Linked DNA regions of Danio rerio. The protein of the gene in region 3 purifies or fractionates together with the protein of the main gene of each other region. This does not show direct contact. Links are inferred from orthologs where the notes say so. Each region holds a gene or a part of one and is shown on either strand. Other genes may lie near its edges.

The links.
Region 1: the proteins of sec16a (region 3) and sec23b purify together in Homo sapiens (affinity purification with mass spectrometry; 3 studies listed by BioGRID and IntAct, with this or other methods). This does not show direct contact. The link is inferred for Danio rerio from reciprocal best matches to the Homo sapiens genes SEC16A and SEC23B.
Region 2: the proteins of sec16a (region 3) and sec13 purify together in Homo sapiens (co-immunoprecipitation; 4 studies listed by BioGRID and IntAct, counting the BioPlex papers as one, with this or other methods). This does not show direct contact. The link is inferred for Danio rerio from reciprocal best matches to the Homo sapiens genes SEC16A and SEC13.

Annotation. Positions count from the first base shown.
Region 1 is NC_133181.1:7,710,484-7,714,748, reverse strand, and holds the start of sec23b (protein transport protein Sec23B), read right to left. Parts: upstream 2,804-4,265; 5' UTR 2,715-2,803; coding exon of another isoform or gene 2,484-2,714; 5' UTR 2,056-2,483; coding exon 2,052-2,055; intron 1-2,051. Other genes in the region: ccdc85al (coiled-coil domain containing 85A, like), read left to right, coding at 2,484-2,714. UniProt on the Homo sapiens protein: Component of the coat protein complex II (COPII) which promotes the formation of transport vesicles from the endoplasmic reticulum (ER).
Region 2 is NC_133197.1:32,949,510-32,953,167, forward strand, and holds part of sec13 (protein SEC13 homolog), read left to right. Parts: intron 1-541; coding exon 542-693; intron 694-3,658. UniProt on the Homo sapiens protein: Functions as a component of the nuclear pore complex (NPC) and the COPII coat. At the endoplasmic reticulum, SEC13 is involved in the biogenesis of COPII-coated vesicles.
Region 3 is NC_133196.1:6,563,033-6,566,690, reverse strand, and holds part of sec16a (protein transport protein Sec16A), read left to right. Parts: coding exon 1-2,058; intron 2,059-2,147; coding exon 2,148-2,281; intron 2,282-2,652; coding exon 2,653-2,747; intron 2,748-2,833; coding exon 2,834-2,972; intron 2,973-3,063; coding exon 3,064-3,253; intron 3,254-3,658. UniProt on the Homo sapiens protein: Acts as a molecular scaffold that plays a key role in the organization of the endoplasmic reticulum exit sites (ERES), also known as transitional endoplasmic reticulum (tER).

The DNA.
Region 1 (4,265 bases), on a different chromosome or scaffold from region 3:
TTGTAGTAAATAGTGCTTTTGAACTTATATTAGTATTTTTTTCGTTTGTAGAAGGCTAGTATCAGGCTTCTAAACTTCTAAAAAATGACTATGGTAATTTGTAGTAAATTACCATAGTGTTTTTGAACCATAGAAAAGTTTATTATACTGCATATATTAGTATTTAAGCAGTTGTTATTTGTGGAATGTAAGTATCTTATGCTTCTAAATATCTAAAAATTACTATGATAAATAAATAGTCTACTATTAGAATCATAGAAACGTGTATCTGCATATATAAGCATTTAAGCCTCTTTTTTCATTTGTAGAATGCTATCATAATAGTAAATAGCTAGTATAGTGTTTTTGAACAACAGAAAAGTTTAATATACTGCATATATTAGTATTTTTTTTCTTTTGTAGGAGGCTAGTATCATATATAAACTTCTAAAAAACGACTATGGTAATTTGTAGTCAATATATTGCTTTTAAACCATAGAAAAGTTTATTATACTGTATATATAATAGAAAGTTTATTATACCATATATATATATATATATATATATATATATATATATACACACACACACACACACACACACACACTAGATATATAGCTAGTATCATATGTTTTTAAAATGACAACGGTAATTTGTAGTAAATAGCCTACTATAGTGTTTTAAACCATATAAATGTTTATTAAATATATTAGTATTTAAGCAGTTTAATAGGCTAGTGTTATATGCTTCTATGAATGACTATGGCAATTTGTAGTAAGTAGCTACTATAGTGTTTTTGAACAATAGAAAAGTTTATTATACTGTATATATTAGCATTTAAGAATTTTTTCCCCATTAGTAGAACACTAGTATCATATGCTTCTGAAAAATGACAATGGCAATTGGTAGTAAAAAGCTATAGTGTTTTTGAACCATATAAATGTTTATTAAACTGCATATATCAGTATTTAAGAAAATTTTTTTTCATTTGCAGAAGGCGAATATCACATGCTTCTAATATGATAATTTGTAGGAAATAGCTATAGTGTTCTAACCAATAGAAGAGTTTATTATACTGCATATATCAATATTTAGGAGGATCTTTTTTCATTTGTAGAATGCTATCATGCTTCTTAACTTCTAAAAATTGACTAATTTGTAGTAAATATAGTGCTTTTAAACCATAGAAAAGTTTATTATACTGCATATATCAGTAATGTTTTTTTCTTTAGAAATAGTAAATGATAGTAAATCATTAGTAGAGAGCTTATATCTATGCTTCTAATAAACTTGTATTGTAATTGGTAGTAAATAGATTATTATAGTGTTTTTGAACCAAAAACGTTTATTATACTGCCTATATTAGTTAGCGTTTTTTTTTATTTGTAGAATGTTAGTATCTTATGGTTCTAAACATCAAAAAATGACTATGATAATTCTATGGACTCTATGGACGTCTGTTTGAATAGGGTTGGAGCTAAACTATGCAGGGCACTGGCACTCCAGGATCAAGTTTGCCCACACCTGGGCTAGTATCACATACTTCTAAACTTCTATAAATGACTATGGTAATTTGTAGTAAATAGCCTATTATAGTGTTTTTGAACCATAGAAAAGTTCATTACACTGCATATATTAGTATTTAAGCCTCTTTTTTCATTTGTAGAAGGCTAGTATCATATACTACTAAACTTCTAATAATGACTATAGTAATTTGTAGTAAATAGCGTTGTGTTTTTGAAATAGAATAGTTTATTAAACTGCATATAAAGAGACTAAGCCGAAAAGAAAATGAATGAATGAATGAATGAATGAATGAATGAATGAATATTAGCCTACCTAGTATTTAGACATTTTTTTCTGGTGTAGAAGACTGTGTTAACGAGTCAATAGATGGCGCTAGATACAAACTTAAATGGAACTTGAACAACAGCATCACCTCTCGGCCACTCGCGCACACAAACATGCACGACACACACAAACGGAGATAGAGAGAGAGAGAGAGAGAGAGAGAGAGAGAGAGAGAGAGAGAGAGAGAGAGAGAGAGAGAGAGAGAGAGAGAATGAATTTACCCATTCGCTGCAGTCACGCTCATTTCTCCGGAGCTCGGGCTGAGGATGCTGCCGTCTCTCCTCCATATCCACGAGGATGCAGGAGCGCGCAGAGGCGGACGGGGGCGAGCGCACCGGGCCGCCTAAACCCACCCACATCTCACCGGCGATCATACACCGTCACTTTTCCAAACTTACAAGAACTATGCACGGGAGCCGGTGCTGAACAAATTGGGCGGACTCGCTCTATATGCCGGCCTTCCTTCTGCTCATCAGCTGTTGCTGCTTTGGGAAAAGTCGAGGCGACTCCCACTGTAAGGGCATCGGATACGAGCATCTCTACACGATGCGTCCTCAGTCTCCCTGACTCCTCCTGACACTGCCTGCCTGCCTCATTAATATTTGATCTGGTACCACAGCAGCAGAAGCAGCAGCAGCAGCTCGCCTCTTCTAATGGAGAATTCTCCACAAGCACAGCCTGGATCCAAGGCGCCGGAAAGTCCAGCAGAAGACATCGCCAACCTCACGGACGAAGAGCTCCTCCAATGGAGCAAAGAGGAGCTGGTGCAGCGGCTCCGGAGGTGTGAAGCCGATAAAATGAGCGTCATTCTGGATCACAGTAATCTGATTCGGGAGGTGAACCGCAGCCTGCAGCTGCATCTGAACGAGATCCGGGGGCTGAAGGTGAGCAGATGAGATCATGGGCGTCTGGAGCACACCTGCGCTCTCCGAGGAGGCGCCACAAGCTCTTGGGTGCACATTATTCATCCTGTAGGAATAACGCCTACTACTGTTGTCTTATGTGCCTGTTTTTTTATTTAAAGCTTCCAAACTTGGCAAGAAGCACACACATTAGTGGCATTGTTTTGATACCAGAACCACATTTTCGTTTTTTTTTATTTATTTTTTTTATATATTGCAGTGTTAAGACACCTGTTGTGTATGAATGTGACCTTTTTCTAATTTTAATATTGAATGTTGCAGAATATTTTTACTCTAAATGATCTAGGAAGACATTATCACAAATGTATTTTTAAACCAGCTGATATTTTTGTCTGTAAAATGCAAATTTGGATTTTTCACATATTTATTTACCTTAAAGGGATAGTTCACCCAAATATTACAATCTACTTACTATTTACTCATCTTTGAGTGGTTTCAAACCATGCATCCATACCAAACCATCATGAGTTTCTTTATTCTGTTGAACACAAAAGAATATATTTTGAAGAAAGCTGAAAACCGTTAACCAATGACTTCCATAGTAGCAAAAACAAATACTATAGAAGTCAAGGGTTACAGGTTTTCAAAATTTTTCTTTTGTGTTCAGAGGTAGAAACATTTGAGTGAACAAGTGAACAATAAATAAATAATGTCAGAATTGACATTTTTGGGAGAACTATCCCTTTAAGAACATGTTTTTAGAAAAAAGATAAGATATTTTAAGTTTTATAATAATAGTCCATACATCTTTCACAATACATCAGTCATACAATATAAGTTGTCATTTGCTACAAATATTTCAATGCTCTGAATGTTTAATCACATAGCAAAATTTCTCTGGCCCAGATTTGGCCCACACAATCAGAATTACAGTGCATGACTGGACCAATTCTGGCTATCAGACAAGGGCCAAACATGGACCATATCTGGGTCAAGTCTTAGCCAAATTAATGAACTGGGCCAAATACACAACTAGTTTAAACTACTTAATTAAAATGAGCTGAAACAACACAATTTTTGAGATTTCATTTGGGACAACTTAATTTTTTTTATGTTCAATCCACATAATTTTATTAGAAGTGTCAAGTTAACTTAATCGATTTGTGTTAGGACAACACGAATGAATTGTGTGGAACCCTGCATTTTTTACAGTGTATGTTGGTGTGTCACGACTGCAATGAAATTCATAAACCCAGGAAGCATTGCGCTTTGGGCACGTTTTGAATGTTTTTTTTTTTGGAAGTGAACTGATTGGTAGATTTTTTCTTTACCCAAATCATTTAAATGTATTTAAAATGTGGGTCGAAAAAGACTAAACCTATGTGACCCACATTCATTCATTCATTCATTCATTCATTCATTCATTCATTCATTCATTCATTCTTTAGTTCGTTCCTTCCTTCCTTCCTTCCTTCCTTCCTTCCTTCCTTCATTCATTCATTCGTTCATTTGTTCATTCATTCATTCATTTTCTTTTCGGCTCAGTGCCTTTATTAATCTGGGGTCGCCACA
Region 2 (3,658 bases), on a different chromosome or scaffold from region 3:
CTGCCTTTGCGTGGGTTTCCTCCGGGTGCTCCGGTTTCCCCCATAGTCCAAAGACATGCAGTACAGGTGAATTGGGTAGGCTAAATTGTCTGTAGTGACTGAGTGTGTGTGTGAATGTGTGTGTAGATGTTTCCCAGAGATGGGTTGCAGCTGGAAGGGCATCCGCTGCGTAAAAACTTGCTGGATAAGTTGGCGGTTAAAAAAATATTACTTTAAAAATTGTTTTGTAAATAAATCATATGAACATTCTCTTCTATCTGTCAATAAAATTTATTAAATAATTAATTAATTATTATTATTATTAATAATAATAATAATAAATTAATAATTAATAAAAAATTATAAATAATTAATATTTAATAATTAATAAAGGGACTAAGCCGACAAGAAAATGAATGAATTTAAAAACGGAATAAATATACATGTACACACATGAAAACAATTAAATAAATAGTCGCAATTATGGACTAAAAATCCGCGGACTTATGACTGATACAGAATTTCATTATCATACATTATACCTCTGAATGTCTCTGTTCAGTCATGAGGGTCCGGTGTGGCAGGTGGCCTGGGCTCATCCCATGTACGGCAACATCCTGGCGTCCTGCTCCTACGACAGGAAGGTGATCATCTGGAAAGAGGAGAACAGCACCTGGGACAAGATGTATGAATACACAGGCCACGACTCCTCGGGTAACCTCCCTTCCCATTCTCAAATCACACGTTTCCATTTCACATTTTAGCAATATTTTTTAAGGGGTGGGAATCACCAGTTCCACAATATTGTCACGATACAGTTAGGGCTGTGCAATTAATCAAAAATTCGATTTCGATTTTAATTTTGGCTTCTAACGATTATGTAAAAACATTAATCGAGATAAACGATTATTGCATCATTTACTGCCCCCTTTCTAGTTGTACGCGTGTTGAAAATCAAAAGACATGCGAAAGAGAAACCATTTTAAGAGACAGTGCGCGATAATCCTTCTACCGCCTGTTTTTATAATTATTAATCAAACAATAAATGGAGAACATGTCTTTCTGCTCTTGACTCAAGGACTGCTGCAGCTAAAGTGTTTTTCTGACATTGAAGATGCATAAAGCACAGTTTGCTTCATATTTTTATTCTATTGTTTTTATTTCTCTTATGTTTGCAGGTGGGAAAATAACTGTATATGCAGTTGAAGTGAGAAATACTAGCCCTCCTGAATATTAGCAACTCTCTTCTCCCGTTTTCTGTTTAATGGAAAGAAGATTTCTGAACTGATTTATTTTATCTTTGTCATGATGACAGCACATAATATTTGACTAGATATTTTTCAAAATACAAGCATTCAGATTCAAAGTGCGATTTAAAGGCTTAATTAGTGTAATTAGGCAAGTTATTGTATAACAGTAGTTTCTTCTGCAGACAATCAAAAAATATATAGCTTAAGGGGGCTAATATTATAGACTTTAAAATGGGTTTCAAAATATTTAAACCTGCTTTTATTCTAGCCAAAATAAAAAAGCCTTTCACCAGGAGAAAAAAGTATTAGAGGAAATACGGTTAAATTCCAGTTAAACATCATTTGGAAAATATTTATTTAAAAAAAAATTACCAGGAGCGCTAATTATTTTGACTTAAACAGTAATGGTTTTGAATAATCGTGATTACAATTGTGACCAAAATAATCGTGATTATGATTTTTCCCAAAATCGAGCAGCCCTAGATACAGTATTATAGTGCTATTGTGCGATTATATTGCTATTTATTACCTGTTTTCAACTTTAAATTATGTCCTCAAAGGAAAATATCTGTTTTATCAGTTTATCTCACTAAAGTTTTGTTCATGCAGTGCAAAATGGGATTGTTAGGTGGACAAACTCATAAATAGTGTATGCACCTTTTTGCAATGCCACTTTATTTATTGTACTATTTTACTGTGTGCTAAAGATGACCCAACTCACCTGAAAAAAAAAAAAAAAAAAACAGGTTCAAAAAAACTCAACACCACCAGTGGTTCCCAACCTTTTTCTTTGGGGCTCCCCCCATGAACATATACAAACATTGGAGCCCCCCCACCATATAAATACACACGCACGCACACACATATGTACTGTGTATATATATATATATATATATATATATATATATATATATATATATATATATATATATATATATGTATGTGTGTGTGTGTGTTTGTGTAATATTAATATATAGTAATATGTATAGAAAATATTAATTAATCAGTTTTAACTTGTCTTGGCCTTCAATAAAACCAAAATCTAGGTAGGCTTTGTCATACTGTCTAATCTTTTTCTTCGCCTCTGAATAATCACTGCATTTACGTTTGTCTGCCATTTTTGTTTTGATTTTGCCTTCACGACACGTTGACAAGCAGATTGCGCGAGTGAGCAAAATTTAAATAATTATTTAAAGTTATTTATTTTAATTATTTTCACTATTATGTTGGAATTTTAAGCATGTGTTTAGATTTTTTTTTTGGTACTTAAAAATACATATATAATAGTAGGGCTGCTCGATTTTGGGAAAAATCATAATCACGATTATTTTGGTCATAATTGTAATCACGATTATTCAAAACCATTGCCAGTTAAAGTCAAAATTTTTAGCGCTCCTGAGATTTTTTTTTTTTTTTTTAAATATTTCCCAAATTATGTTTAACAGAGCAAGGAATTTTAACAGTATTTCCTATAATATTTTTTCTTCTATTTGTTTTATTTTAGCTAGATTAAAGAAAGGTTTAAATATTTTGAAACCAATTTAAGGTCAATATTATTAGCCCCCTTAAGCAAAATATATTTTTGATTGTCTGCAGAATAAACTACCGTTATAATGACTTGCCTTATTACTCTAATTAAGCCTTTGAACTGCACTTTAATCTGAATGCTTGTATTTTGAAAAATATCTAATAAAATATTATGTGCTGTCAATATAGCAAAGACAAAAAGAAATCAGTAATTAGAAATGAGACTATTATGTTCAGAAATAAGTTAATAAAATATTCTTTCCATGAAACAGAAATTGGGCAGGAAAAGGTTTGCTAATATTCAAGAGGGCTAATAATTCTGACTTCAACTGTATAACAACAGTTTAACAAACGAAACTAATTATTTAAAGGCTAATTTATGTCTGTGCGGTAAGGTTTCCTTATCCACGAGAGCAAAAGTGAAAGTGAACTTACTTTACGTCATGTTAATAGCAATGCGCTAATGGTGCGACGCAGCTGGCTCTTAAAGGTAATGGAAGATGAGACTCTGATTGGTTTATTCTCAAAACACACCTATAACTCATTAAGAAAATAAACTCAACCCTTTTAGACCATGCGCCATGGCGCAAAGCGGATTTTCCCGTCCTTAAGTTAGCAAAAATGCGTTCTGACATGCCCTGAAAGCGTTTGCGCCCTGCGTTTTGCGCTCTGCGCATGGACAGTCAAAATAGAGCCCTTTATTTCAAAATAGCCACTAGCAAGAAATCTAGCATATTGTATTGCTTCCTCTGTATATAATAGTGATTTTTTTTTTAATAGTTGGCTTATCTGCAACCTACACACTAGCCATTATTTTTATTAGAAGCAGACATGCATGTCAGACAAGCATTAATGAGCAGTAAATGCATTGTTTTAAGGGGAGATTTTACAGAGGATTCAAG
Region 3 (3,658 bases):
CAGAACCCACAGGATCCATCTCAGCGTGCCTACCATGTCCCCTACTCTGAAGTCCCTAGTGACTCAGGAACTCTGTCAATGTTTTTTGGGGGAAATGATGTTGAAAATGAAGAAACTCTAACAGGGGAGGGGCGTGTAAATGGAATTCATCAACCTCTCCATTCAACAACAGAATTCTCTGGTCCCTATTTGAATGACAGTGGTAACATACGAGCTGGGACAGGACCAAGTGATTCAGTGGAGAATCTGGAATGTGTTCCAAACCAGGAAGTTCTGCCTAGTGAGCCACCTCCAAGTCATGCCTTTGAGGGGGGACCTAACTTGGAGACACCAGACTCTGCTCCTCGCCTTGCCCGCTCTGCAAGTGTCTCATCCAGCTACAGTAATGTCAGTCACAGTAGTGGACACGGTGCTCACAGTGGGGGTCATGTCCCTCGTAGACAACAAGTAGTGGGAACATTTATCCAACAGGAGAGTCCTCGTCCACCTGATCACCCTCCACTGCATCCCTCAACTGGTGGATACTTTGAACAAATAGACTCTAACCCAGCTGCAGAGGCAAGTCCTACTTTCCCAACTCCTAGTCCACCTAAACCAGTTGGTGTGTTCCAGGCAAGTGCAAATTCCTCATTTGAGCCTGTTCGTTCACATGGTGTAGGAGTTCGACCTGCTGAAGTTGATCGTGCACGTGTGGTCATGGAAAAGGGTGGACGTGACATGCAGCCTGGCAATTTAGAGCATCCTCCAGATAACTTGGAGACTATTTACTTATCAGAACGCCGACCCTCATCTCGAGCTCAGGGGGCACGACGCCCCATCGAAAGTCCTGCAACTGCACTCTGGGCTCAAAATGACACTGCCAGTCTAAGTGCTAACATACTGTTAGCCCCTGCAGCACCGTCTCTGACTGCAACATTTGTTCCAGCACATCCATCTGAAGTAATTCAGCCACCAGAAGATGGGCCACTTGATCTGCATCCAGCTAGGCCAGATCCACAACCTCCCTCTGAAAACCTTGAGATTCCTCCAGACTCTACACCTCAGGCAAGTCTGGGATATGCCTCCTTGCTTGTGACCTCACCTCCAGAAGAGGCTCTGAACCAGCCCGTCTTGATTGCGCCACCTTCCTCTAATTACAGTTTGATTTCATCCCAAAATCTCTTACAACCATCAATTCTGCCAAGTCCTCAAGAGACAGCAGCACCTGTTCACCCACATCCTCAATCTTCATTGACCAATCAAATGCCTCAGAATTCTCCTCCAACAAATCAGCCACCACTTCTTTTTTCTCAGACACCAGTAAACTTCAGTTCTTCCTCAGCTCAAGGTGTCTTGAATCTAACGCGAGAGGCCAACGATGGTCAGGCAGCCCGACCAAACCTCTCAAGGGCCCAGTCTCTTAAAGGTGATAGCCAATTTCTTCCGCCTTCTGCTACTCAAGCTCCGCCTTCTTCAGCTGCCTCCACCAATCACAACCAACCTTCAAATTATCAGCTGCTTGATTTTTCTATGCATCAGCCACAGTCTACAAATCAGGTCACATCAGTCCCAGCTGTCTCTCAATCAACCCATCCTGCAGGCTTGGTGAATAACACACCTGGCTTTTACCTGCAGGTCACCAAAGATGCACAGCAAGGGGGACAGTCTGACACTGATTCTCTGTCCCATCAGCAGAACTCCAACCCCCCATTACCCTCTAGCAACCAACTTGACAATAATCAGACTCTGAACTCCCATCCTCCTCCACCTCCAGCTCAAAACCAGCCTCCTCCACAGGCCCCTCCAACACATCCTGGCGCCCCTCCTACTGGACCTGGATCTGCCCAACCACCTCCTTACCCACCCCAATCTGGAAACTCTACCACCCAACCACCTCAAGAACCTCAAAGGCCTCCTTCATCTCTAGGTAGTCAATCAGGTTATGGGGTTCCTCCTGCCATGCCCCCTGGTCCAGGTTACCCAGGGTACTACCCAGGAGCCTACCCGGAGTACCAGGATGGAAGAGTACCATACCCACCGCAGTATCCTGTGGATCCCAGAACTCAAAATTATTATCAGGTGCATGATGTAATGATCAGTACATTTCCATATAAAGAATTCAATTCCTACCACATTTTGTATCAACATGTTTGTTTGTTTTTTTGTAGGATGATCCCTACCGTAGAGGCGATCCTCGATACGGATGGTATGATGGACAGAATCCTGGCTATCGGGAGGCTGAACGCCAACCAGAGAGGCCAAGCTCTAGAACCAGTCAATACTCTGACAGGCCCAGCTCAAGGTGAGGGCTTGTTCCACATTCACTCACTTTCTAATGATTTGAGATTTTTGTCAGATTTTTGTTTTTACACTTTGATTTCTTGGTTTGATTTGAGAGCAAATTTCTGTACTATTCCCCTGACGTTGCTGATTACATTGTTCTTATCACGAATGGAGAATTTAATCAGTCGATACCATCGCTATGCTTGCATACCAGTGCTTACTAGCTGTTTATCATAAGTAGGATTATTGATTTTCTGCAAAAACATTATATTCACAGAAAGGCTTTTTAATACAGCACTTGAACTGTATGCCATTTAGTGATTTTTGGTAGTGTGCACTTGTCTAAAATTACTCTGAAACCAATGTTTTAGTTTTTTCCTCTAATCTTAGACAGGGGTATCAAGAAGACTTTTCAAGATCCAGCCGTAGTGCCTATGACGAATACTATGCAAACTACTATAAGAGACAATACGATGCCTATGGAGGTAAAGACTCTTAAGTGCTACAAATCTCTGCCTTCTATGTATTCTATATTCTTTTGCTTATTTTGTGGGTGTTTGTGTGTATTTAGATAGGAGCAGGTGGTATGATCCCAATGCTGCTTATGATCCACGCTACAAAGCATACTATGATCAAATGTATGGATGGTATTATAACCAAGATGGTTACAGAGGAGGACAGGCGTATTACAACCAACAATATCAAAACAGGTACTCGCAGGCACTCATGCAATTCATCTTTTATTATTATTAATACTTTTAGTTTTTGCATATGAACACTTTTCTTGGTAATCGTCACTAGGGGAAGGGAAGGGTATGACGATCCATGGCGATATTACCCTGGTTATGACTCCAGCTTTGACGATGACTCTCGGAGACGTGACCCATATGCTGATGATTTTGACCGGCGTTCGGTTCACAGTGAACAATCAGCACACAGTGTGCATTCATCACACAGTCGACGTAGTAGCTTCAGCTCACGGTCACAACAGGTGTGTGTATGTATGTATGTGATTTAGTGGATTTATCTGCGTAATGTTAATTGACAGAACGTTTAATTCCTATCTGAAACCTAAAATTCTTTAGTATATATGCGAAAAATGGCAAGTGGGATGGGAAAACTGTACTAATAATGAGTTATATATGAAAGTATACTCCCTAAATTTAATCTGAGACCAGGCATGACCAAACTGTTTATACTAGATTGGTTAACTCTAGGAATGACTCTAGGAATGATGCACCACCAACATTAAGCCTCCCTCAGCATAAAGCATATTTTAATAGAATGTGAAATTTTATAGACTACTAGATAAGATTTCTGTACTGTATGTTGATGGATGGTTTTTAAAAATGTATGCCCAGAAAAAAAAAAGTAAGTTATTGATTATATTTTGAAC